Linked DNA regions of Mus musculus. The protein of the gene in region 1 interacts with the protein of each later gene in a pairwise test. Links are inferred from orthologs where the notes say so. Each region holds a gene or a part of one and is shown in the gene's direction. Other genes may lie near its edges.

The links.
Region 2: the proteins of Ccnd3 (region 1) and Crabp2 interact in binary tests that used the Homo sapiens proteins (3 or more experiments, as listed by UniProt). The link is inferred for Mus musculus from reciprocal best matches to the Homo sapiens genes CCND3 and CRABP2.
Region 3: the proteins of Ccnd3 (region 1) and Eif3k interact in a two-hybrid assay, tested with the Homo sapiens proteins (2 studies listed by BioGRID and IntAct). The link is inferred for Mus musculus from reciprocal best matches to the Homo sapiens genes CCND3 and EIF3K.
Region 4: the proteins of Ccnd3 (region 1) and Vdr interact in a two-hybrid assay, tested with the Homo sapiens proteins (2 studies listed by BioGRID and IntAct). The link is inferred for Mus musculus from reciprocal best matches to the Homo sapiens genes CCND3 and VDR.
Region 5: the proteins of Ccnd3 (region 1) and Rbl2 interact in a two-hybrid assay, tested with the Homo sapiens proteins (2 studies listed by BioGRID). The link is inferred for Mus musculus from reciprocal best matches to the Homo sapiens genes CCND3 and RBL2.
Region 6: the proteins of Ccnd3 (region 1) and Atf5 interact in a two-hybrid assay, tested with the Homo sapiens proteins (2 studies listed by BioGRID and IntAct). The link is inferred for Mus musculus from reciprocal best matches to the Homo sapiens genes CCND3 and ATF5.

What each region holds. Positions count from the first base shown.
Region 1 is NC_000083.6:47,592,020-47,596,266, forward strand, and holds the start of Ccnd3 (G1/S-specific cyclin-D3), read left to right. Parts: upstream 1-1,447; 5' UTR 1,448-1,635; coding exon 1,636-1,833; intron 1,834-2,276; exon of another isoform or gene 2,277-2,306; coding exon of another isoform or gene 2,307-2,360; exon of another isoform or gene 2,361-2,380; coding exon of another isoform or gene 2,381-2,386; intron 2,387-2,714; coding exon 2,715-2,930; intron 2,931-4,054; exon of another isoform or gene 4,055-4,196; intron 4,197-4,247. UniProt on the Homo sapiens protein: Regulatory component of the cyclin D3-CDK4 (DC) complex that phosphorylates and inhibits members of the retinoblastoma (RB) protein family including RB1 and regulates the cell-cycle during G(1)/S transition.
Region 2 is NC_000069.6:87,947,271-87,951,492, forward strand, and holds the start of Crabp2 (cellular retinoic acid-binding protein 2), read left to right. Parts: upstream 1-1,422; 5' UTR 1,423-1,570; coding exon 1,571-1,640; intron 1,641-4,222. UniProt on the Homo sapiens protein: Transports retinoic acid to the nucleus. Regulates the access of retinoic acid to the nuclear retinoic acid receptors.
Region 3 is NC_000073.6:28,979,089-28,983,285, reverse strand, and holds the start of Eif3k (eukaryotic translation initiation factor 3 subunit K), read left to right. Parts: upstream 1-1,397; 5' UTR 1,398-1,553; coding exon 1,554-1,612; intron 1,613-2,743; coding exon 2,744-2,842; exon of another isoform or gene 2,843-2,967; intron 2,968-4,197. Other genes in the region: Map4k1 (mitogen-activated protein kinase kinase kinase kinase 1), read right to left, coding at 14-71, 232-330. UniProt on the Homo sapiens protein: Component of the eukaryotic translation initiation factor 3 (eIF-3) complex, which is required for several steps in the initiation of protein synthesis.
Region 4 is NC_000081.6:97,866,797-97,870,296, reverse strand, and holds part of Vdr (vitamin D3 receptor), read left to right. Parts: intron 1-466; coding exon 467-651; intron 652-873; coding exon 874-979; intron 980-3,008; coding exon 3,009-3,180; intron 3,181-3,500.
Region 5 is NC_000074.6:91,068,764-91,072,856, forward strand, and holds the start of Rbl2 (retinoblastoma-like protein 2), read left to right. Parts: upstream 1-1,293; 5' UTR 1,294-1,412; coding exon 1,413-1,643; intron 1,644-4,093. UniProt on the Homo sapiens protein: Key regulator of entry into cell division. Directly involved in heterochromatin formation by maintaining overall chromatin structure and, in particular, that of constitutive heterochromatin by stabilizing histone methylation.
Region 6 is NC_000073.6:44,812,859-44,817,132, reverse strand, and holds the start of Atf5 (cyclic AMP-dependent transcription factor ATF-5), read left to right. Parts: upstream 1-1,474; 5' UTR 1,475-1,651; intron 1,652-1,850; 5' UTR 1,851-1,966; coding exon 1,967-2,144; intron 2,145-3,612; coding exon 3,613-4,274.

The sequences.
Region 1 (4,247 bases):
TCCTTTTTTCCCTTGATTTTTGTTTTTGAGACATAGTCTCATGATATTAGCTCCTCCTGACCTAGAACTCTTATTTAGACTAGGCTGGCTTTGAACTCAAAGAAATCTGCTTGCCTCTGTCTTCAAAGTGCTGGGATTAAAGGGGTGCTCTGTCATGCCTGTCTTCCTTCCTTCCTTCCTTCCTTCCTTCCTTCCTTCCTTCCTTGTTATTTGAGTCATCTGACATGGGTCTGGCTGGCCTGGAATTCTCCATGGGCTATTATCATTTGGTTTGCTTGGTTTTGTGATAAAATCTTATATAGCCCAGGCTGCTCCTGAACTCATTAGGAAGCAGACAGTGACCTTAATCTTCTGATCGTTTCTGGGTTCTGCAGTGCTGGGGATTGAGCCCTGGGCTCTGAGCATGCTAAGCAAGAGCTCTACCACCTGAGATATATCTGCAGCCCACCCCCTGCCACCGTGTGTGTGTGTGTGTGTGTGTGTGTGTGTGTGTGTGTGTGTGTGGAGAGAGAGAGAGAGAGAGAGAGAGAGACTCTAGGCAGGCCTTGAATTGTCTGTATAGTGGATAGTGGATCCTGGTGTTAAGCCAACACTTCCCTGGGTCTGAGATTACTGGCTTGCTCCACCACAGCCAGCACCAAATGGCTTTTTATATGCTGATTTTGACCAACACTGCTCACACCTCCGTTGGTGCAACGCAGTGTCCCATTCAGCAGACCTGAGAAACTGCATTTCTTCTTTTGCTTTTTATTTTCGTTGTGTATGTGCATGAAGGTGTGTGCGCACATGCTACATACAGCCTTGGTGTAGAAGTCAGAGGACAGCTTATGGGAGTTGCTCTCTTCTCTTCCATCATGTGGGTCCCAGGGATCACACTCAGGTTGCCAGACTTGATGCCAGGATAGTTTACCCTCTGAGCCATTGAATCGGACAGAAACTACATGCTCCCAGATGCTGCTGCAGATCTGCGCAATTCGTTAAAGTAGACGAGATTCTAAGTCAAGTTTCCCGACGGACCAACAATGAGATCTTTGCAGCTACTATTGTGCCTCAGTATCATGGTCTGCAAAATAAAGCCCAACTCGAGGCCATTCCTAGAAGCCACTTTAGGGTAGGAGTGACCCAACTATGTACAAAGTTATGACCACATTCCCTAGAGCAATGAAATATGACGTATACACGAAGGAATAACTTTTGGCGCCTAGTTCTTTCCTGGGTGGCTAGAATCGCGACGGGGCCCATTGATGGGGAAGAGGGCACCCTTCCAGAAAGTTCTCTCTACCCTCTTGGTCAGAAGGGACCCGAGGGCCCGGAAGCGTGCGGGCCGGAGCCCAGCGGACCAATGGGGCTGCGGGGAGGGAGGGAGGGTATAGCGCCCGCCAGCCCTTTCCGACTGCGGCCCCGCCCCTTAGAACGTTGTGACGTAGGAGCATTCCACGGTTGCTACATCGTCGCGAGGGGCGGGGCGCCTGTCAGGGAAGCGGTGCGCGCGGGTGGCGGGCGGGCTGGGGCTTCTCCGCACAGTGCCAGCGCCAGCGCCAGACCCGCCCGCACCCCGCGCTCTCCCTCACGCGCGTCGCTTCTCCTAGGACTCGCTAACCCGCACTCTTGCTCTCACCCGTGAGCCATCGCAGGATGGAGCTGCTGTGTTGCGAGGGCACCCGGCACGCGCCCCGGGCCGGGCCCGACCCGCGGCTGCTTGGGGACCAGCGTGTCCTGCAGAGTTTACTCCGCCTGGAGGAGCGCTACGTGCCGCGAGCCTCCTACTTCCAGTGCGTGCAAAAGGAGATCAAGCCGCACATGCGGAAGATGCTGGCATACTGGATGCTGGAGGTAAGGCCCGAACGGGTCCCCTCTCCTCACCCCACCCCCACCCCCGGCTCTGGGACAAATTGAACTTTCCCTGTCGGATCTTTGCGATCCCGACCACAATCTGCAAGATGCTTTGGCGGCCCAGACTACTGGGGCCTGGCCTTTTCACACAGGCGCCCTAAGCAGCTGCCTGCGTTCTGTCCCTTTCCTTTCCCCAATCCTGATCGGCTTCTTCTGTGATTTCCAGTCACTTGGCACTGTAACTAAACTTCACTTTGGGTCGGGAAAGCGGGCTAAGGGCCACTCTTTCCCCAGTGGCTTTCCTCGGTGTCTCCTGCTTCCTTCTTCACCCGGTGCTCTCTGGAGGGCGCGTTTGGAAAACCCTGGCCTCGGCCGCCTTAGCCCCAGAACTGGTTCCTGTGTCTATCGCGGGGTTCTGGCGGGGGAAACTGGTGGGTGGGGGTGGCGCAGGCTCGGTTCCGGTCCACAGGGAAATGAAAAGTGCGGGAGACCGCGGCAGGAGTTCCCTCCCTTCCCCCTGGGAGTGTGTGTGCAGTGGGTGGCGGTAATGAGGGTAAGGTCCCAATTCTCTCTAGGTGACCCTTCCGTCCCCCTTCCGCTCGCCGTGGGGGAGGGGAGTCTGGAATCCTTCGTGAGCATGGGCTTCTCTTTTACACCCCCTACTCCGGGGTGGGGAAGAGACCATGCAGAGGAAGTGGGGGGGTCACCTTGGGGAGGGCACATCCTCCTCGGTTATTGATACTTGTCGCTCTAAGTTTATCCCTTCTCGGTTTATTTTTTGCTTCGCATTCCACTCTCCCTCCACCCCCCACCCCCACTTCTCCACGCTGCCGTGTTTCACTTGGTCCTTCCCTAGCAATGACTCGTGCGCCCTCCCTCAGGTGTGTGAGGAGCAGCGCTGCGAGGAGGATGTCTTCCCTCTGGCTATGAACTACCTGGATCGCTACCTGTCCTGCGTCCCCACCCGAAAGGCGCAATTGCAGCTTCTAGGTACCGTCTGCCTGTTGCTGGCCTCCAAGCTGCGCGAAACCACGCCCCTGACTATTGAGAAGCTTTGCATCTATACGGACCAGGCTGTGGCTCCATGGCAGTTGCGGGTGCGTGCGGAATCCTCCCCCCCCCCCCCCGCCCCTCCACCAAACATACGATCGCCCTATGTACTAGTAAAAGAAAAGCCAAGCTCACTCCCTCACCCACCAACCCTCCCTTCGCCCCTGGCTGGTATTTTGGGACAAAGGCCTTGTAGTGTGGTCGTGGTGCTTCGGTTGCAAGCTTAAAACTAAATGAATCCCTTTCCTCTGGCCGCAGTGGGGTTCCACTCCTAACTCGCCCCCCCCCCCCCCAATAGCAACAAGTCCAATTGCGGGTCTATACACCAGTACTTTGCCTCTGGGTTTACACAGCCACCGTGAGTTATTTATTGGCAGCAGCAGGGCATGTCTGCACACCCCCACCGGAGTGGAATGTGCTTCACGTGGGGGAGGGGGCTGCCTTGCATGAGCCTTTATCCCCGTGTGGACTTTGTGATGGAAAAGCCTCCCGGAGCTGATTAAAGCCAGGCCCTGCTCGCTGGAAGGAAGCGCTGAGGTGTTTTCATCCCTTTCCCTCCTATCCCCGAAGACACCGCTCTTTTCTAAACCCTCCCTTTCTTGTCTTCCTTCTGAAAAACTCGAGCAGCTGCTCTGGGCCCGTGGAAGAGTTTCTCCCTTTGCTGCTCAGCCAAAGGCCAGAGCCGAGACAGACAGGGAGCTGAGCTGCAGCTGCTTCCGATGTGATAATGATGCCGGTCCCCTGGCCCTCCCACTCAGACCAAGGGCTTTCATAACCCTGTGGGGAGCTGCTGTCACTCCTGTGGTTTGGGAAGTGGCTCCTTGGGGCCTCTTGCTGGGAACTTGGGCTGGGCTCCTCCAGGCGGGGCAAAAAAAAAAAAAAAAAAAAAAAAAAATCGGTTGGGTTCTGCCCTGCCCCGGAGGAGTCTAGGGAGGAGGTGGATCTGCTTGGATCTGGAAGGGAGCTTGAACGTCATCTCCCACAGGGTCTGGGGGAGAGGGTGGGTGAGCTGGCACCTCCCTCCACCTTGTTCTGTGGCTGGCCAAGCCTTCTCTGACCCTGAGAGGAGTCTCTGGGCCCCATCTCCTAGGGAGGAGGGCAGCAGGCAGACTCCTGTGATTGGCTGGCTGGGAAGCTAGGGTACTGGGGCCCCTGACTGCTGTGAGTCGGGGAACTGGATTCCTCTTCCTGTCAAGCAGCTCTCACGGATGGGAGGCCTGAGTTGGGAATCCGGGAGGCCCCACAGCTCTTTGTGATGAATCTAGTTTCCAGAGCCAGGGAGCACGATGTTTTTGAGGGATTGAGGCTGGGAGGTAGGAGACTTACTCTTTGTGAAGAGATTAAGGGTGGTCTACATGGCTGTG
Region 2 (4,222 bases), on another chromosome or scaffold:
ACTCAGGCCGACTTGTCCCACTCCCTTCTGAGTGTTGGTGGTGGGGTGGGGGGTGGGGAGAGCGGCGATCCAGAGGCCCTTCTGAGAGGCAGCCTTCCTCCCTCATCCTCTCAAGTTTTCCACACCCCATTATTCGGGATTGCCTCGATGAAGACCTGACTCGAGTGACACTGTCTGGCCTCTGAGTGAGGTTAATCCTTCAGGCCCTGTCCTCAGCTCAGTTCCACTCCCCAACCAAAGCCTGCCAAGTCCCCAGTTCACCAGGTCAGGGCTGCCTGTTCCAACCTTGGCCACCTAGATGAGAAGGGGCCAGGCAGGGACCTTGTTTGAGATCCTGAGGGGACTACGGGGATAGCCCCGGGAGACTGAGGGCGAATGCCAAAGAAAGGGCAAACACTTGTAGCTCCAGCACAGAGCAACGTTGTTTCTGGCTTTGGGTTACCCGCGTGCCTCCGAGGCCGCTCCTGTCCTTTCTGCTGTCTCGCTGTCTTTCCACTAGGGTTTCACCCACGTAAAAATCAGCCTCGGAGAGGCTGATTCACCGCACTTTCAGCTCTAGATAGGGACGTCTCAGACCCACCCCCTCCCCACACAGTCAGCCTTCCCCCAACCCCGGAGGCAACGCGGCAAGCCGCGGGGTGGGGGTGGGGGGTGGTGGGGGGCGCTTGGCGTCTTTCTCCCCCTCCTTGTGGCCCAGGGGGCCCAGGGAAGCGTAGCCACCGAGAAAGCGCCTTAATAAAAGAGTCGTGTCAAGTGATTGGCTGTGACCTCTGCCCTTCTAGCCTCGAGCCGGGGGCTCCTGCTTAACCCTTCATTGTCCGTCCAGGGCTTGGAGAGGAATGAATGAGTTGCCTTGTGCTCACTTCAGGCGTCCCCAGGCACTACTTGAACCCAGAGCTGAGTCAAGGGGTGGAGGACAGAGCAGCACCTCCCTGTCACCCAAAAGAACGCTTGAATTCCGAGCTGTTTCATTGAGTCCATTTCGACTGCCGGTTGCCGGGGGGGGGGGGGGGGGACAATTCTTGCGCTAGTGGGGTCTCCGGATGCCTGGAGCTGAGCTGTCCAGAGCACCAAATCTGGTAGAGAACTACTAGGGAACTGGTGAAACGGGACCTGTGTTCGCCCTGCAGGCCGAGAGAGCATCCGTGACCCAGGCGAGAGCCGTGCCCTGTTCTTGCCAGAGGCACAAACCCCGTTCTTGCCTTCTGACGCTTCTCGGTCCGCCTACTGATGCGGGAGAAGGGTATCTTGGCTCTTGGAGAACCCTGGACCCACCCACATTTCTAGAAACAGGAGGGATTCCGGAAAGGATGGGGGTGAAGTGGTCACAGAGCAGGGCCCCCAGGTGGTGTGGAAGGCGGGGCGGGGGCGGGGCCGCCTCATGCACCAGCTGGGTATAAAAGCCTAGAGCTCTGGCGCCCAGCGGCTGTGCAATTGTCCTCCACGCGGCTTGGTCCCCAGGTGGAAGGATCTGTTCTGCAAAGGAGACAGCAAAGTATCTTTAGCCTAAAGGACTCAGCGTCCAGTGTTCTAGTTGAAGATCTAAAGAGAAAGCCACCTTGCTGCCACTATGCCTAACTTTTCTGGCAACTGGAAGATCATCCGATCGGAAAACTTTGAGGAAATGCTAAAAGCTCTGGGTAAGGAGGTTTTCGTGAGTTGGGAAGGGAGGACAAGAAGGGCGCTGGGGTCTTTAGAGCAGAGGCCGAATAAACGGAAGGGGGCCGAATCAGGGAATGTACCTGGGAGCCTGCATCCTAGGAAAGGGGCGTGCCGGATACCCTGGGTCCTGGGGCACCAGGCCCAAGACTCTTAAATCCTACTTTCTGAGGCTGGGCGCCCACCAGTGCCAGCTTCAACGGTGACTCAGAGCCTGTGAAGCAAGTAGAAACCAGAAGCACGAGGTTAGTCTCAGGAGGGGTTGGCTAGCCTCGGCGCCTGGACCTGCTGACCAGGGCACCTGGCTCTGAGCTTTAAGAATCCAGAATCCAGGCAGGGAGCCCCTAGGAGACATTCCAAGATCTTTCCGCGTACCCTAACAGTAACCCAATCCAGGCGACAGGTCCATTATCCTCAACACTTGGCTCCGCCCACCAGGTGGTCCACCACTTCAGCTCCCCGACCCTCCCCCACACCTTGCACTTCCCACTCCAGTCTCCCCACCCCACCCCACCCCACCCCACCCCCACCTGTGAGACATATTTTCCTACAGCAACCGGCTCCCAAGCCCTAAAATCGCTCTGGACAATTACCACTTTCTTAGATTTCAACAAATGTCCTCGTGTGAAACACCAATCCCCATTTCCGAAAGTCTAGGATTGCCTCCCTCCTCGCCACAGACCAGCTGCACCCTGCGCAACTGGGCTGTTAGCCAAGGGTGGGAACACAGGAACCACCCAGACTTTCCCTACCCACCTTCTACTACCCTCTAGGATGCGACTGAGCTAGAAGGTATAGGAAAGGAGAGACATCTGCGGAGAGATGCAGTTAACCGCCCCAGGGAGTGGAAACTACCCCAGAGCCTAAGGGTCAGCATGCCTTCCATTTCTGCACTGGAGAGGAGCCCTGTGGTGGGGAGCAGGGGATACCCTTGAGGAGCTAGGGACTGTATAAGAGTGAGTCTGGAGCTAAAAAGAATGTTGCGAGGGCAGTAGGGCCTCTGTTCTCATCTTTCCTCGCTGTTCATTCTCTTTGTGTCAGCTAACCGCAATGATCCTTAGAGTCATACCCAGTTTTCTTGCTCCGCCCTTGCGAAATTAAAGATCAGAGAATAGAAATTTTCAGAAAAATCTATTGCTGTCTCCTCCCTCATTCGCTCTAAATTCTGGCCCCTCTCTGCAGTGGATGTGGGAGCCTGGCATCACCCCCACCCCCACCCCGGGTTCCAGCTGCAGAGAAAGGCCCAATCCTACAGTCTGCCTTCAGAATGTTTGTCCTCCCCGCAGGGTCTCTCTGAGCCACGCGACTTGCTAGGGGGTAGATTGCAAACAGACCCGTTGTTACACAAACTGCCTGTGTCAGCCAAGGTCAGCTGAGCCAGGACCCCAGCTCTGCAGACTGAGGGAGGCGGGGTTCTCCTTAACACAGCCTCCAGAGACGCCACAGGGTCTGCGTTCAGGGTCCATGTTGTGGGAGAGTTCAGGGCTCATCATGATAATCAGGGCAAACACAGCAGGTCTTTCGGTTAGGACTGGGTGAGTCCACTTTGGGGCTAAATGAAGTGTCAGTTTTCTTCTCAGGAACCCAGAGCTATGGAATGCATGAGTATTTGTGTGTATATATGGGGGTGGCGGGGAGGGGGGTTGCACGGTGGCAGTGGCTTGTCCCCTGTAGCACCTTGAAGGGCCAGTTCTTCACCTCATCAGGCTTGGAAAGGTGGGGGTGGATCCTCCTGTTGGTGGCAGAGGGTTGCTCTCCTTCATTTACAGAGCCCTCTGTAAATGAAATGGGGGCAGGGAAGGGAAAGTATATGAATGAGGACACAGAGACTCTAAATACACAGAAGCTGAGCTGGATGGCCCTTGGATGATTCTTGGAGCTAGGGACATCAGAGGGGAGGCAAAACACTCCCATCTCTTCCCCTTCCCTTCCCTTCTTTCTTTCTTCCTTTCTTTCTCTCTTTCTTTCTTTCTTCTTTTTCCTTTTTTCTTTTTTTTGGTTTTTCGACACAGGGTTTCTCTGTATAGTCCTGGCTGTCCTGGAACTCACTCTGTAGACCAGGCTGGCCTCGAACTCAGAAATCCGCCTGCCTCTGCCTCCCAAGTGCTGAGATTAAAGGCGTGTGCCACCATGCCCAGCTCCCTTCCCTCCTTTCAAGACAGCAGAATTTTCCTTTGAAAGAGACCTGGAAATATTACAGAGAGCAGTCTGGCACAGGAAACTTTGTCCAAACCTAGTTTCGTTTGGCTTTTCTTTTTTTATTTGCATATATTACCTGCATGTAATAATGGGTTTCACTATGTTCTGGCTTGTTTTTTGTTTTTCTCATGGTTTTTTGAGTCAGGGTTTCTCTGTGTAGTTCTGGCTGTTCTGGAATGCACTCTATAGAGCAGGTTGGTGAGTTTGAACTCAGAGATCCATCCCCCCTGCCTCTGCCTCCCAAAAAAGGGTGTACACCACCATGCCCTGCTATGTTGCGGCTCTTTCATCCATTGTACTTGCTTTTATTTAAAAAAAAAAGTTTCTAGAAACTATGAATGTGCACTTGGCCTTGTGTGTCCCC
Region 3 (4,197 bases), on another chromosome or scaffold:
GGGGTGCTCTCACCAGGCTCCATCTTCACCATCTTCAAAGCCACCAGGTCCTTAGACACCTTGTCGCGAGCCTTGTAAAGGGGAAGTTGGTCATCAGGCAGACTCCATAGCTTGCCATCCTCAGCATCTCTGAACCAAGGCCAAGGCCTGGCATTCTCTTACACTCCTGCTTGCCAGCCTCTCCCCAACTATCCCAGGGTTGTGGTGGAGGAGACAGAAGGGCTTTCTCACCTTGAATACTTCTCCATAAGTTCCACCACCCAGTCGTTGCAGTAGATCATAGTGTTCTCGAGGGTCCTTATTAAAAATGTCGGGGTCCACAAGGGCCATTCCTGGAGGCCGGGGCTGGGCCAGTGCCCAGGGGGCCAACAGGGCCTCAGGGTTCAAGCTTTGGTATTACCTTCTGTCTCCACACAAGTCCTGGGCCCGCCTTGACTCTGTGGGCTGTGGCCTTCCCCCTCCCCACTCTCGCTTCCTGCCCCAGCTGCAGGGCTGTGCAGAGGGCTGCACAGAGGGCTCCACCCCCGTCCCCTGGGTTCTGAGAGTTTGATCGCCTTGGGACCCATGGGACTCCCCTTTACCCACTGAAGGACACTATGTAAATAAGATGCAAAAGTTCTTAAATGCAACCTGGGGCTGACCTAGCACCCTCTCCCCAACACTCTATTTTGGGAGGAGTCATAGGTTACGGTTGAACCTCTGCTGGGTTCTTGAAGATCTGGAATCAAGCCAGAGGTTGCAGGTCTGCACAAAGCTGGCTAGGTTTCACAGAAGACCTGTTTACTCGTGACACATGCATGTGACTTAAGTGACAGCTGAGCTCAGGGCACCTGCCCGCATGGCACATGTCTGTGCAACGCTTCAAACGTGTAGGGAATCTGTGGCAGACGTGGAACACTTGTTAGTAGCCCCTACGCAGAGCCGATGGAGACTACAGGTGTCTTTTGCCTTCCCGGCCTCCTAACAGCACTGTAGCAGTACGGAACCGAGTGGGGACCAGCGAGGAAGTGAAGATACATACAAGATGCTGTCTCAGGCACCCAAGTCGGAGACAAGAAGGGCTTCAGAGAGCATCTCCCACCCGACTAAACTCAAAGAAAAGGAAACAGCAACCCTTCACGGGGCTAAACGCTTAAGGCTACGCATGCGTAGAGAAAATAAAGTCTCCTTTCCCCGTACAACTCCAGCGCACGCGCGTCAGAAGCTTAAGTACTAAGTTTGCGCGGCCCGGGAAAAGCTTAGCCCGCCTCCTGGCGCCTGCGTAGTAAGGCAGACTAAACCTTTTCTCACGCTATTGGTCTCTTTTAAGTGAGCTCATTGCGCATGCGCAAGTTACAACTGCTGGAAGGAAATCACGTGGTAGACAAAAAAAAAAAAAAAAAAAAACAACCGGCGCTGGTGCTGAAAGCGCCTTTCCCTTTGCCTTCCTTGTAGGAGCTGGAGGGAGGGTGTGACGCAGGTTCCGCTTCCTACACCTCTCTTCCGGTCCTCTAGTGCTAAGCACCGTGCCTGGTGTTCGACTCCAGCTGAGGCTGCCGAAGGCAACAGTGATCATGGCGATGTTTGAGCAGATGAGAGCGAACGTGGGCAAGTTGCTCAAGGGTATCGACAGGTCTGAATTCCGCTGAAGGGCGCTCTCTGGCCAAGCGGGGTGGAGAAGACGGGGAGCCAGCCAGGGGTGGCCAGGGCTCCACGCTCCTCCAGAGATGGAGTTTCTCCAAGTTTCTCTCCGTCCCTCAACTTTACCTTTTCTGCTGCCACAGACTCCCGGTGTCTTTTAGTCTCTTCCTTCTCTGTCCTTGTGGACCATCCTACATAGTGTTTTCTGATGTCTATTTGGCCAGTGGGGACCGGAGGTGATGGAAACGGGAACCGGTCCTGCGTTCCTGGACTTAGGTTCCCATTCCATCCTGGCGACAACCCCATTCAGCAGATAGTGACAATAAGGAGCGATCAGGGCCTGGTCAGGTCAAGCCACGTATTGAGATAGGCAGGAGAGGATGGAACTGGGTCAGAACGGGATCGAAGAGAAGGTGTTCAGGAAAACATACGGGCTGCAGAGACTGACTGAGGTTGGAGGCATCCTAGACATGACCAGGGGCTCAAGTAGGGCTAGCTAGAGGCCCATGTTAGGAAAAACATTTACTGGATGTTGTACAGTTAATTGATCAGCTATCTGGGTAGTTCCAGTGGGTGGGACTAACTTATTTATTTTAAGATCGAATGAATGTAATAAAGCTTCCTACAGATTTATTTAAAAAGAAAATAGCAAAGTGAGGAATATCCCATGGCCAGAATAAAAGCTGTAGGAAGAAGAGAGTGATTTCAGGTTAACAAATTACAGTGGTCCCTAAGGACTAGCCTCTGTTCTTCTCTTTGTTTACTCATGTCTGTCTGTGTAGTTATCTCCCTATCTTCCCCCCCCCTTTTTTTGTTTGTTTGTTTGTTTGTTTTTTGAGACAGGGTTTCTCTGTGTAGCCCTGGCTGTCCTGGAACTCACTCTGTAGACTAGGCTGGTCTCGAACTCAGAAATCCGCCTGCCTCTGCCTCCCAAGTGCTGGGACTAAAGGCGTGCGCCACCACTGCTCGGCTCCCTTTTTCCTTTTGAGACAGGTTTTCACTATTAATTGCAGACTAGCTTCAAACTTGCAATCCTCCTGTCCTGCCTCAGCCTCCTAGGTGCTGGGATGAAAGGCATGTAACCACTGTGCCAGGCTGTTCACCCATCTTGATGCTCTTCCAGGTACAATCCTGAGAACTTGGCTACCCTGGAGCGATATGTGGAGACACAAGCCAAAGAGAATGCCTATGATCTGGAGGCCAACCTGGCCGTCCTGAAACTGTGAGTGTCTGTCCCCACCCTCATACGAACAGCTGCCTAGCAGGAAGCCACTCTGGAGAGGGAACCTGGTGCAGAGGGGCCTGGGGCAAGCTGCAAGATGGGACTTCTCTTCGGTGTTTTAGAAGGTCAGATTAGGAGTTTTTGTTTTGTTTTTGTCTTTTTTATTTTATTTTATTTATTTATTTATTTATTTATTTATTATATGTAAGTACATTCAGACACTCCAGAAGAGGGCATCAGATTTTGTTAAGGATGGTTGTGAGCCACCACGTGGTTGCTGGGATTTGAACTCAGGACCTTTGGAAGAGCAGTCGGTGCTCTTAACCACTGAGCCATCTCACCAGCCCTGTTTTTGTCTTTAATCCATTCCAAAATCATACAAGATGGTCAATAAACAGTTGTGTTGCTAGACAGATTATTGTAAATGAAAATTCATTTTGTTAGTTTCACTGCCTCTTGGCTCACATGCTTTGCCCCATCAACCCCCCAGCTTAGGTAATCACTGTTGAGCCCTTATGGCCTAGCCTTGGGTCCCTTGAGTCAGCTTAGGTCAGGCCTGCTTTCTTTTTTTTTTTTTTTTTTTTTTTAAACAGTAGCTGGGCTTTTTTTTTTTTTTTTTTTAAAGATTTATTTATTATATGTAAGTACACTGTAGCTGACTTCAGACAATCCAGACGAGGGCGTCAGATCTTGTTACAGATGGCTGTGAGCCACCATGTGGTTGCTGGGATTTGAACTCCAGACCTTTAGAAGAGCAGTCGGGTGCTCTTACCCACTGAGCCATCTCACCAGCCCAGGCCTGCTTTCTTTTGAGCTCCGCTGTAATCACATAGCGCAAGCTTTTCTACACCAGAGATCTTCCTCTCGGCCCTGGGTTGGTGGCAGCCTTTTTCCTTGTTTCTTTTGCCCATATTCATGAGTGTGTGTGTGTGTGTGTGTGTGTGTGTGTGTGTGTGTGTGTGTGTAGGGGCTGTGTGTGCACACATGCGTGTGGAGCCTTGAGGTTGATAGCAGGCACCAGTCATTCTTCCACCTTATTCAGAGTCAAGGCCTCATTAAGCCCAGAATCCACCAACACAGCTTGTCTTGCTAACCAGCTTGCTCTTGGGATCCTCTGTTCACACCTCAGAGACCGAGTTCGAGACAGGCTGGCATGCCTACCTGGCATAAACATTTATTTTATTCTTTTTAATTCGTTTTGTTTTATGAGTGTGAGTTTTAAGTGTGGAGGTCCAAGGACAACTCGGAGCAGTCAATCTCGCTTTCCACCATTTTGTTTTGTTAAGTCCTGCCACTTACGATGTAGACCAGGGTAGCTTTGAGACTAACGGCGTGGGGCACCATGTCCAGCACTT
Region 4 (3,500 bases), on another chromosome or scaffold:
TGTGTCTGAAGACAGCTACAGTGTACTCATATAAATAAAAATAAATGAGTCTTTGAAAGAAAGAAAAAAAGTTCCCTCCCAGTGTTAAAGAGAGTAAGAGAGCGAGAGAAAGACAGAGCTCGGATGAGACCATATGCTCTAAACTGCTCCTTTTTTACGAGCAAGAGAAAAAAAAAAAAAAAAAAGCCCAGAAACTCTGTTGTTTCTCCAAGGTCACACAACTGGTCCTTGAGGATCTTGCCTTCCAAGTACCTACATTGTTCCTCTCATACCCTCTTCTCCTGCACACACCCGCCCTTTCGCTGTAGAAAACCGGGTTGTCTCCATGATAAGGCATCGGCGCTAACATGGCAGCTGGGTCCCCAGGAGCCGCAGTGTAAGGAGCCGTCCTGGCCCTTTTGTAGTGGAGGAAGGGTTCCTGTAAGTTTTGGGCCGTGACTCTGGACTCGCTTTCTTGCCCCCGCAGTCATCCTCACAGATGAGGAGGTGCAGCGTAAGCGAGAGATGATCATGAAGAGGAAGGAGGAAGAGGCCTTGAAGGACAGTCTGAGGCCCAAGCTGTCTGAGGAGCAACAGCACATTATCGCCATCCTGCTCGATGCCCACCACAAGACCTACGACCCCACCTATGCCGACTTCCGGGACTTCCGGGTACGTCTGCCAGCCTGTGGCTTGAACCAGGCTAGTGGAGAATCAGGTATAGCCCAGGCACGGGGAGCAGGGCTAGAAGGTTGGGACCCAGGGAAGGTTCGGAGGCTGTGCTGCCCACGGCGAGCCCTTCCTCTCTCCCTGCAGACCTTTGCCCTCAGAGGCAGGAGAGGGGCCCTCAAATAGGGACCTCTTTGCCAAAGACAACCCATCTTTGCCTTCCAGCCTCCAATTCGTGCAGACGTAAGTACAGGGAGCTATTCTCCAAGGCCCACACTCAGCTTCTCCGGAGACTCCTCCTCAAACTCTGATCTGTACACCCCCTCACTGGGTAAGGAGCACGACTATCAAGAAAACAGGCTTGTGGGTGTTCGGGCCCACTCGCCCTGAGGCTATAGGGGAAGTGATGGAAATCTCCCATTTCCATACTGTGTGTGGCACAGGGTCCTCCATACAGTTCCTCTTTCACAGAAAGGGGGTTGGCTGTGCGGTATGCATGCTGGGAAGAGACCAAGCTGAGGTTCTGGCTGTATAGATGGGCCTTCTTGAGTCACGCTCAGCCTCTGAGCCAGACCCTACCCTTGACTTCCTCTCTGGAGGTCAATATTCAATGTTTTGCTCCTGGACTCTTTGGAGGGTGAAATTGATGGAGGGAGGTGACCTATGATGTGGGAAGGGCCTGAACACTGGGGAACTAAACATCACGGCTTTGGACAACTTGTCGCCTGCTACTCCTGAGAGCATGGCACACTGTGCTTTCGGCCCCCTTATACATTCATGTCTGTCATCCTGCATCATCCGTCCTTCCTCGTTCTGCCCTGCCCCTCCCTTCTACCTCTCAACCAGCCCTAGTGTCCTCCTCTTGGGGCCTGGAAGAAGGTGAGGGTGGAACCCCCACTCTGGGTGATTATAGCCTTCAGATACTAGACCTCTAGACTCATGTACACACATGTGCGTGAGTGTGTGTGCATGGGCACACAAGCACACACACACACACTAAAATTTTTAAAACTTAAAACTAAAGTTTTAGGAGACTGAAGAGTATTGTGACATATAGTAACAAGTGAAAATTCCCTGCTGTCGGATATCTAGATTGGCTCCTAGTCTTTTAATTTTTCTCTTGGGTAAATATTTATTCCATTTTTTTTCTTATAATGAATGCATGGAACTGGGATTACTCTACACTTAACTGTGAATCATCATCTCTCTTTCTCTCTTCCCCTCTCTGTCTGTCTCTGTCTCTCTGTCTCTCTCTCTGTCTCTCTCTGTCTCTCTCTCTGTCTCTCTCTCTCTGTCTCTCTCTCTCTGTCTCTCTCTCTCTGTCTCTCTCTCTGTCTCTCTCTGTCTTTCTCTCTCTCTCTCTCTCTCTCTCTCTCTCTCTCTCTCTCTGTTTCTCTCTCCTGTGTGTGTGTTTGGGACCCCTCAACCCATGGGATGAAAAGGTCCCTTTTGTCATAATCAAGTAAGTACAAGAATATCTGCATTTTTCCAACTAGACATTGGAACCAAATATAAACTTGATGCTAGTATTTGTGAAGATTGAAGCACCAAAGAAACTCTTTGTGGGTTTGTGGGTGCGCATTCATGTGCATGGTTGTGTGAGTGTGGGGTGGAGCATACAATCACTGCACCCAGGTGCTAGAGGCAGGAGGCAGATCCCGGTGAGTTCAAGGCCACCCTAGTTTACATAGTGAGTTCCAGGTCAGCCAGGGATATAAATTAAGACTCTGTCTAAAAACACAAAACAACAACAACAAAGGCTTTAACAGTCCACAGTCAGAGTCCAGTCCATCCATCCCTCTCATCTCCACCTCTCGAGAACTAAGGTTAGAGGCATACACGACCACACCCAGCAACTAGAGGCTTTTCACACCAAGTTTCAAATTGCTTTTTAGATTACCTGCACAACTATCCGTCTTCAAGAGCATCCATCACTGCAGGAGTTTTTGATGCTTTAATCTTTACAAATGCCAGCATGGAGTTTATATTTACTTCCAGGGTATAGTTGGCAAAATGCAGATATCCTCTACCTTGTAGTTCCTTGATCATGATAAAGGGGAGTGTGTTGCTCCACGGGTGGAAAGGTCCCAAACACATTTTAACACTGAGAATAATAGGAAGTCCATACTTTGCAAAGTTATAGCTAAGAAGGATATTTTTCCTGAGTATCTCTGGTTCCTTGAATTTACTGCCTCAAACAGCTAAAGAGATGGGGAGAGACCCAGAGGGAGTCCGGAGAGGAACAGACCCTGGGAAAGGGCAGTCACCATTGGATCCTCTAAGGCACACAAGGTTCTCACAGGAGGGCCCTGCCTGGGTGTCCTTAAATAGCTCTCTGCCTCTTTCCTCCTCATCCCCAGACATGATGGAACCGGCCAGCTTTTCCACGATGGATCTGAATGAAGAAGGCTCCGATGACCCCTCTGTGACCCTGGACCTGTCTCCGCTCTCCATGCTGCCCCACCTGGCTGATCTTGTCAGTTACAGCATCCAAAAGGTCATCGGCTTTGCCAAGATGATCCCTGGCTTCAGGTAAGAAGCTCTGGCAGGGGGGGGGGGGCTGTCAGAATCCCCTACGGGCCTGGAAGGTGCTTGGCTCATTTCTACTGCTTCCTCCACACACAGCCTCAGGCCTGCCCCAGAGTGCCCAACGGGAACCCCTGGACAAGGCCAGGATATACGTTCTTACATGTAGCTGCCCACAGTTGTGTTGAGAGCCAGTCCTGACAGGAGCTCTACTGCTCGCTTCCCGGAGGATGAAATGAAATCCCACCAGGGTCTCATGGCCACCTAAGATCTTTTTATGACATCAGAACCAGCCCAAGGACTCCCAGCTCCTCGAACGAAGCTGG
Region 5 (4,093 bases), on another chromosome or scaffold:
AATCTCCCCAGCCCTTTTCAATCAATGTGTTTATCTCCACTAGATTCTCTTCACCACTTAAGCCCATGCAATGTGCCTTAAAAGTTTCTTTTCCGTGAGCAAATTCTTTGAAATTCCCTTCATATCTAAGCTTAGTTAGAGATTCGGTAGCTTTAACACCTCAAATCATAAATATAGGAAAGTTTCAAGCCCGGGGACAAAAGGCTGAGGTGCCTATTTAACATATCAAAGAGGACCTGGCTGCTCTGTTCTCCTGGTAGCCCTCAACCTCTACCTGTTACCATAGCCAGCCCCCTACCCAAAACTCTCCAGCTCAAGGGGTGGGCTGTGCTTTCCTATATAATCCAGACATTTTAGTTTCTAGCTCGGTGTACCTTTGGGCCTTCTAGCTGCTGCACCTGGTTCCCCTCTCTCCCCTCTCTCCCTTCACCTCCCGCGCCCCCTCCCCGCACTCTCCTCCCTCAGGTGGCTCAGGGTCATGTCCACTCTGGACTCACTCAGATGTCCCTGCTCTACGCTCTTCCTTTTATCTGTAAGAAACTTTAGCCGTATCTAGGAGCAGTTATGTGATAGCTAATATACATTTTAAGTTATTCTTGAAAACACATTCATGATTATTTGTGTGATTGAGGGTTGAGGGTTGAGGGTTTTTTATTTTGTTTTTGTTTGGTGAAGTGAGATCAATTCTTAGCTCAATATACCTTTGCCATTGATAGCGTTGACATAGGAGTGTCACTTGAGGAATCCTCTCTGTTGGATTGACCTGTGGGTCTTGCCTAGGGAGGTGGCGGCCGCGGGGGTGGCGTTGTATTAAGAAAGTAGCTGATAAAGCAACGGGGAGCTAAGTCAGTAAGCAGCGTCCTGCTTTAACCTCCGTCAATGATGAACTGTAAAGACTAAAATGAAATAAGCCCTTTCCTCTCCGAGTTGGTTACAGTCCGTGTTTATCTCAGCAACAGAGACTAGAAAGGGCAGGCAAACTATTATCTTTACTTTGGACCTTTTAGCTTTACTATCTGAGGACCTCTAGGTGAGGATGTGTGTAAAGGGCTTATATACTAAATCCTGTCGATATTTCTTGGTCTTTTTCTCTTCAAACGAGCCTTCTGAATGGTCTCACTATTGAGAGATGCTTTTTAAAACGGTAGAGGACGTGTCCATTCACCCCTAAATGATGCACAGCTCGTTTTTTGCTTTCTTCTTCCATGACTTTTGGTCTCCCTGAGATCCCGGCCGAGACTACATTTCCCAGCAGGCCGTGCTCAGACCTACGGGTGCCCGCATGGGACTGAGGAACTTTGGGGGCGGCACAGTAGCAGGACAGGCTGCTGACGGGCCGGCGCTTCGCGGTTTGAATGGCTGCGGGCCCGGGCCCTGAGCGCATCTGAAGAGCCGCGGCCTCGGGGTGCGCCATGGCATCTGGAGGCAACCAGTCGCCACCGCCTCCTCCAGCTGCTGCAGCCAGCTCGGAGGAAGAGGAGGAGGATGGCGACGCCGCGGATCGCGCGCAGCCCGCGGGGTCCCCGAGCCATCAGATCCAGCAGCGGTTCGAGGAGCTGTGCAGCCGCCTCAACATGGACGAGGCGGCGCGCGCCGAGGCCTGGAGCAGCTACCGCAGCATGAGCGAGAGCTACACGCTGGAGGTGCGTGCTCAGATCCTCCGTGGAGATCGGGGACTCGGGGTGGCCCTAGGATCACTTGGTCGTTTGCCCCGCACCATTGCCTCCCCCTGGCTTTGCGGCCGTCAGAGGAAACTCATTAAGTTTCAGGCTTGCTTACGTGTGAGAATGGCTTAGGATTTATTGTCCCCCACCCCCCGGGCAGATGAAAAGCGGGTGTAGACACACAACATTTGTTGCTGAACTTGGGCACTCTTTTTGGCTGTCATCCAGGTGTAGGCTTGTTATGTTCCGTTCTTGGGACGGGGCTTTGCAGTTGACGAAAATGGCTATTCGGGCTAGTGCCTGTCAACTCTGCAGGCACCTCCCCTGTATGGGCCAATGGGAAGTGACACGGAAGTCCGGATTGTTTTTCAGCTGCCTGTGCGTATGACCCTTTGATTTTATATATGGAAGCTTATCGAAGTAGCAGAGCAAAGAGGCCCCCGACCCGAAGGCTAAGCAAGGTGTTATTTAACTATGATATGGATGTACTTGTGCCATTCTTCTGAGTCGGTTTATTTCTATTTTTTTAAAAATCGACACACATCGAATTCCCCTCTCTCCATTTGTTACACTCACAAAAAAAAGAAACATGGCAGCTTTAGACCTGTGTCTGAGTGACTCTGGACAAGTTTTTAACCACAGTGAAACTCAGTTATGTTGTGTGAGCAGTTTTGTTACTTGTGCCCACTTCAAAGTGCTTACCTAAAGCTTAACTAAAGCAATGTGTGTATGTGTGCAGAAAATTTCCTAGACTGAAGCAGTCTGGCTGAAGAGACCGTAGCCGCCTTCCTTACCCAGTGTTTCCGATAGCCAGGCAAAGAGGAGAACTTCTGGTTTGAAGGACACAAATACTCCCAAACGAATTCTTACTTCACCTTAGAGATGACGCTGTAAATTAGCAAGAATGAGTATTATAACATAGCAGAGACTTCAAATCACAGACTAAGTCATATGAAGCCTGGTGTCACATATGCAAGTGGCATTTAACAGATGCTTAGTAAATTAGTGTGTGTGTGTGTGTGTGTGTGTGTGTGTGTGTGTGTGTGTGTGTGTGTTGGTCAGAGGACGGCTTTGGGGAGTCAGTCTATCTTTTCACCCGTGGATCACTGCAAGTCTGTTAAATCTGTTGGTCAGCTAGTGCCTTTACCTGCTCAGCCTTGCCAGCTCGACTAGTAAATCGTTTTGAAAACATAGTCACTATTTCTTGTTTGGCTGAGGCGTTCTATTTATTTGTTTGTTTATTATTTATGTCTTATTTGGATTGGTTAGTGAGGTTTTAATCTCGATTCTTAGCCCAGTTGACCCTTGCCATAGCTTCAGTTGTCAACTTGACACACCTGGGAATGGGGAGGCCTCATCTGAGGAGTCACCTCCATCAGATGGATGGTGGGCATGCCTGTGGGGCATGGAGGTGGGCATGCCTGTGGGGCATGCTCTATCATCAGATGGACGGTGGGCATGCTCTATCATCAGATGGATGGTGGGCATGCCTGTGGGGCATGCTCTTAGTTGCTAATTGATGTCGCCCACAGTGGGCTATGCTGCCCCTCCTGGTCCTGGACTGTATAAGGGAGGCCTCATTAGCTGTTTCAGCTCTTGCCTCCCAGTTCCTGCCTGGAGCTCCCAATGATAGCCTGTAACCCTTTCCTCCCCAAGTTGCTTTTAGTCATGGTGTCTATCTTAGCACATCTAGGACAGCCCTATACTGGCACGAATACTTGTTCATTTTGGAGTATTTCCTGAGCCCCTATCTCTTGCCATAGGTTTTCTAGGTACTGGGAAGAAAGCAGTGGGTGAAACCTAAAACTCCCTGATGCATGAGTTTCCGGTCAGGAATACTGGAGAATAAGTAATGTAGACCAGCAGTTGTCTGAAAACATACAGAGGAAATAAAGCACACTTGATCATTAATACTTACCATCTGCTTTAGAATTCTCTCAACTGTTTTCCTGAAATCGATTTGAAAATTTTATTTTATGCAAATAAATGCTTTGCCCACATGTATGACTATGTACCAAAATGCAGGCTTGGAACCTAAAGAGGTCAGAAGAGGGTGTCAGAGCCCCTGGATCTGGCATTATTCGGTGAAGTGCCACCACATGGGTACTGGGAACGAAAACAGAGACCTCTGGGAGAGCAGTCACTGCTCTTAACCACTGAGCCATCTCTCCAGCCCCATATTCTGAATTCTTGTAGTTTATTTAATTCTCACTGTTGTCAATGAAGAAAATGAAACCTCTGGACTTAAGTAGTTTGCCCATGGTGAGCTCTCTAATATGTGGCCAAGGCAGATCTACTTGAGTTCCATGGCCATGGACTGTGAATTAGAAATATCTCTTCTCCCCACTTCCACCCATTTTTTTTTTGTTTGTTTGTTTGGGTTTGGTTTGGGTTTTTTGGGGGGGAGCGAAGGAGGGGAGTTATATGAG
Region 6 (4,274 bases), on another chromosome or scaffold:
CCGTCCCTGGGACTCACATGGTCAGAGAACCAACTCCTGCTAGCTCTCCTCTGACCACCACAATAAATGTTAAAACAAAACAAACAAAAATATGTTGAAGAGTCTCGTGGTTAGGACTTCGTGGCCTACTTTCCATAGCTGATATATCTGTGCGCGTATACAGCGCTCTACAAGTACTTGGGAAGCGTTATCTCGCGGTTGCTGCCTGGAACTCCTCTATGAAGCCTAAGCTAGCTTGCGCCATTCGGCGATGGGCTTAACCCACGAGGTCTCGGGTGGCAAATTCGTGAAGCAGGGAGAGAGAACGAGACGAGCTGGTTTCGGGTGTGAAAGACACATCGGATCTGACCGATTCAGGAGACCGAGCCCGGGCCCCCAGCCTGAAGCAGAGAGTGGAGGGTCAGGGCGACATGGCGGGCCCGGGGTCGCCACCGCCCCGTCGGGGCCGCGCGAGGGCGGGGCGCGGAGGGATCCAGGCAAGCCCGCGCTGCGCCGCCCCCGGTATATTTGTCCCCAGGCCCCGGGGCCGCCTCATTTTCAACCCTCTCAGCACAGTCTCCCTTAACGCTCCCGCCACGCCGCCTCCGCCCGCGCAATGGCTCTGTAGCCGCGACCCCGTCGTGTCCCCCGCCCCCGTCTCCGCGCTCACCGCGCCTTCACTCTCCGCTCACACCGTCTCTTCAGCCGAGGCCGCCGCCGCCGTTGCCTCCTCGCCTTTTCGCCGCCATGGAGTGAGTAACCGCTCGCCCCTCCCTCGCCAACTGCCTTTCCCGCCCTTTCAGAGCTCGCGGGGCTTCACGGGTCAGCCTCGTGGTGGGGGCGGGGGAGACGAAGTGAGGAACCACGGTCGCGCAGGCGCAGAAGAGGGAAGCTGGCGGCCGGCGCATCCGCTGAGCAAGCGCACTAGGCTCGAGTTGCGAGGGGCGGGGAGGAGGAGGGCGTGCTTCCGGAGAATTTGGGGGCTTTTAAGGTCGGCTCGCGCGCCGTTGCGCCTGCGCGCTAATTCACAGACCCTCTGCCCCTTTTCCTCCAAGGAGACAACCCCACAACCTGTTGCGCATGCGCATTGTCTTATTCCCCCACCCCCCCACCCCTCCACCCCCGGCCTGAACTACGGCGGGCGGCCGGTCATTGGCTAAACACGCGCACTGGTCCCCCAGGAGGGTAGTGGCGTAACAATGGATCGGGTCCTGGGACTGAGCTTGCGCCTCGTCGCTAGTCGAGCCAGCAGCGAGGAAGGGTGGGGTTTTGCTTGAGGCTCCGACTCAGGCCCAACTTCCCTCCAATCAGACACCTGCTGGGGCGGGGACTGGCTTAAACTGACAGGAAAGGCTTTAGGAACACCTTTAAGAAAGAGTTAGCACTAGCACTACAGGGGCGGGGCCTCTAGGGACTTGCTAGTGGGGGACGGGAACTGACTGTGACAGACAGAAGGGTGGGCGGAGCTTCCCGTAGAATCTTTAGAAGTCACCAAAATTTTTAAGGGAAGAGCGGGATCTGTGTGTGTGACACTGATGAAGGGCCCAGGCATGCAGAATTATTCTGGGAACCCCTGTGGATTAAAGGGGGTATAGTCTAATGATGCGGAAGGGGCACGGCTAGAAGGAAATTCCCTTGGGATTGAAATTTTTATGAAGAGGAATAAGATGAGGTGGGTAGGAGGGACTAGAGGTAATTCCCCTGGGAAAACACTAGGTTTCTGTGTTGAGGGAGGAGATGGGGCAGGGGAGTTTCCAATAATGTCCCTGGGAATGTGTGGAGCGCTGAAATTTTCGGAAAGAAGGAAACTGTGTAGCCTGTGGGTCAAGCCGCTTTGACTCAATCCCACCCACGTCCCCTTGTCCTCACAGGTCCTCCACCTTCGCCTTGGTGCCTGTCTTCACCCAGCTGAACAATCTTCCACGCTGCCTCCCAATTGTTGGTGCAGCCTCCATTGCCGTCGCTGCCCTGTGCCTGTGTCACAGCCATGTCACTCCTGGCGACCCTGGGACTGGAGCTGGACAGGGCCCTGCTCCCAGCTAGCGGGCTGGGCTGGCTCGTAGACTATGGGAAACTCCCCCTGGCCCCTGCCCCCCTGGGCCCCTATGAGGTCCTTGGGGGTGCCCTGGAGGGCGGGCTTCCAGGGGGGGGAGAGCCCCTGGCAGGTAAGAACAGGTTAAGAAGAGAGGTGGGTTGAGCTGGGGGTGGGGGTGGACAGAAAAGGAAGAATTTATTCCTTCACAAGATCAGTACTGAGGGCCTGCAGTGTGCCCAACACTGTTCTAGGTCTGCAGGGTTCCGAGCAAGGGATCCCTAAGCTCATGGGTGCATCAGGAGACAGAAGTGGGAGACCAAAGCTTAGTGGACAGTGATGAAAGACATAGTTGAGAAGTCAGCCCCTCTAAGTAGATGACATCTGAACTGAGGGCTGAGGGATGGGGAGAAGGAGCCATGATAAGGTGGAAGGGGGCTCCATCTCAGAGATCCTGGGGCACAGTCTCTTTTGACTATGTAACAGATGGTTGTCCCAGACTGCGCCTGGTGGCACATGCCCTCAGCTCCCCCTGTTCAAGGGGCTTCTCAGCCTCTTGAGGTCAGGCCAGCCTAGGCAGCATAGCAAGAACGTAATTCTCAAACATCTCAGAAATGGAAAAGGAGAACAAATAAAGATGGAGCGAGTCATACACACACACACACACACACACACACACACACACACGTGCAGGAAAGGGAGGAGAGAGAGTGGTGAATAGTCCTAGCACTCTGGGAGAGTCAGATGTTTAAGGTTGTCCTCAGCCACGGACTACAAAGCAGGTCCAAGGCCAGCCTAGTCTACACAAGTCTCTATCACCAATAATAACTGAACAAGCAAGGAAAGGAGAGAAGACATAGGTATGGGGTGCAGTCAAGCAGCCACAGAGCAGGATTACAGACGTGGGAGCAGACCTTTGTTGGGTGGACCGTTAGTTGGGTGACTGCTTCACTGAGTGGTTGGCTGATTGATTTGAATCATTGATTGGCTTGTTCACTGATTGGTTGGTGAGTTGATTAGTTCATTGGCAGGTGGCCTGGTGAACTGATGGGTGATTGGCTGGTTGGCTGGGTCATTGGTTACATGGTGGTTTAGTTGATTGTTGGCTGGTGAACTCTGGTTCACTGGTTCACTGCTTACTTTCTGGGTTACTTGGTTGGCTACTGAACTATATGATTGGCTGATTGGTTGGTTGGTTGCCTCATTCATTGTTAGTGGGTCTGTTTGTTGATTGTAAACTATGGTTGGCTGATTGACTGACTGGCTTGTTCATAGATTAATGAATTTGTTGGTTGGTTGGCTGCTGAGTGGTATGATTGCCTGGTTGGCTGGTTAGCTAGTAAATCCTATGGCTGGCTGACTGGTTGATTGGTTGGTTGGTTGGTTAGTTCATTGGCTAGTAGCTTGAAGGGTAAACTAGCTAGCTGGTTGGTTGATTGCTTGATTGGTTTCTTCCCTGACTTATTGGTCTATTGATGGGCCTATAGATTTGATGGTTGGCTGGCTGGTCACTTGTCACATTTAATGAATGGGACATGAGTGAACACCGAAGTGGATAAAGCACAGTCCTCAGGGACTTTTATGTCCCCCTCCATCCTCAGGTGACGGCTTCTCTGATTGGATGACTGAGCGGGTGGACTTCACAGCTCTCCTTCCTCTGGAGGCCCCTCTGCCCCCAGGCACTCTCCCCCCACCCTCCCCGGCCCCCCCTGACCTGGAAGCCATGGCATCCCTACTCAAGAAGGAGCTGGAACAGATGGAAGACTTCTTCCTTGATGCCCCACTTCTCCCACCGCCCTCCCCACCACCACCTCCACCACCAGCAGCAGCACCCTCTCTGCCCCTGCCCTTGCCCTTGCCCACCTTTGACCTCCCTCAGCCTCCTACCCTGGATACCTTGGACCTGCTGGCTGTTTACTGCCGCAGTGAGGCCGGGCCGGGGGATTCAGGCTTGTCAACCCTGCCTGTCCCACAGCAGCCTCCTCCTCTGGCCCCTCTGCCTTCACCCGCCCGCCCAGCCCCTTATCCTAGTCCTGCCAGCACACGAGGGGACCGCAAGCAAAAGAAGAGAGACCAGAATAAGTCAGCTGCTCTCAGGTACCGCCAGAGGAAGCGGGCAGAGGGCGAGGCCCTGGAGGGCGAGTGCCAGGGGCTGGAGGCCCGGAACCGGGAGCTGAGGGAGAGGGCTGAGTCAGTGGAGCGGGAGATCCAGTACGTGAAGGACCTGCTAATTGAGGTGTATAAGGCCCGAAGCCAGAGGACC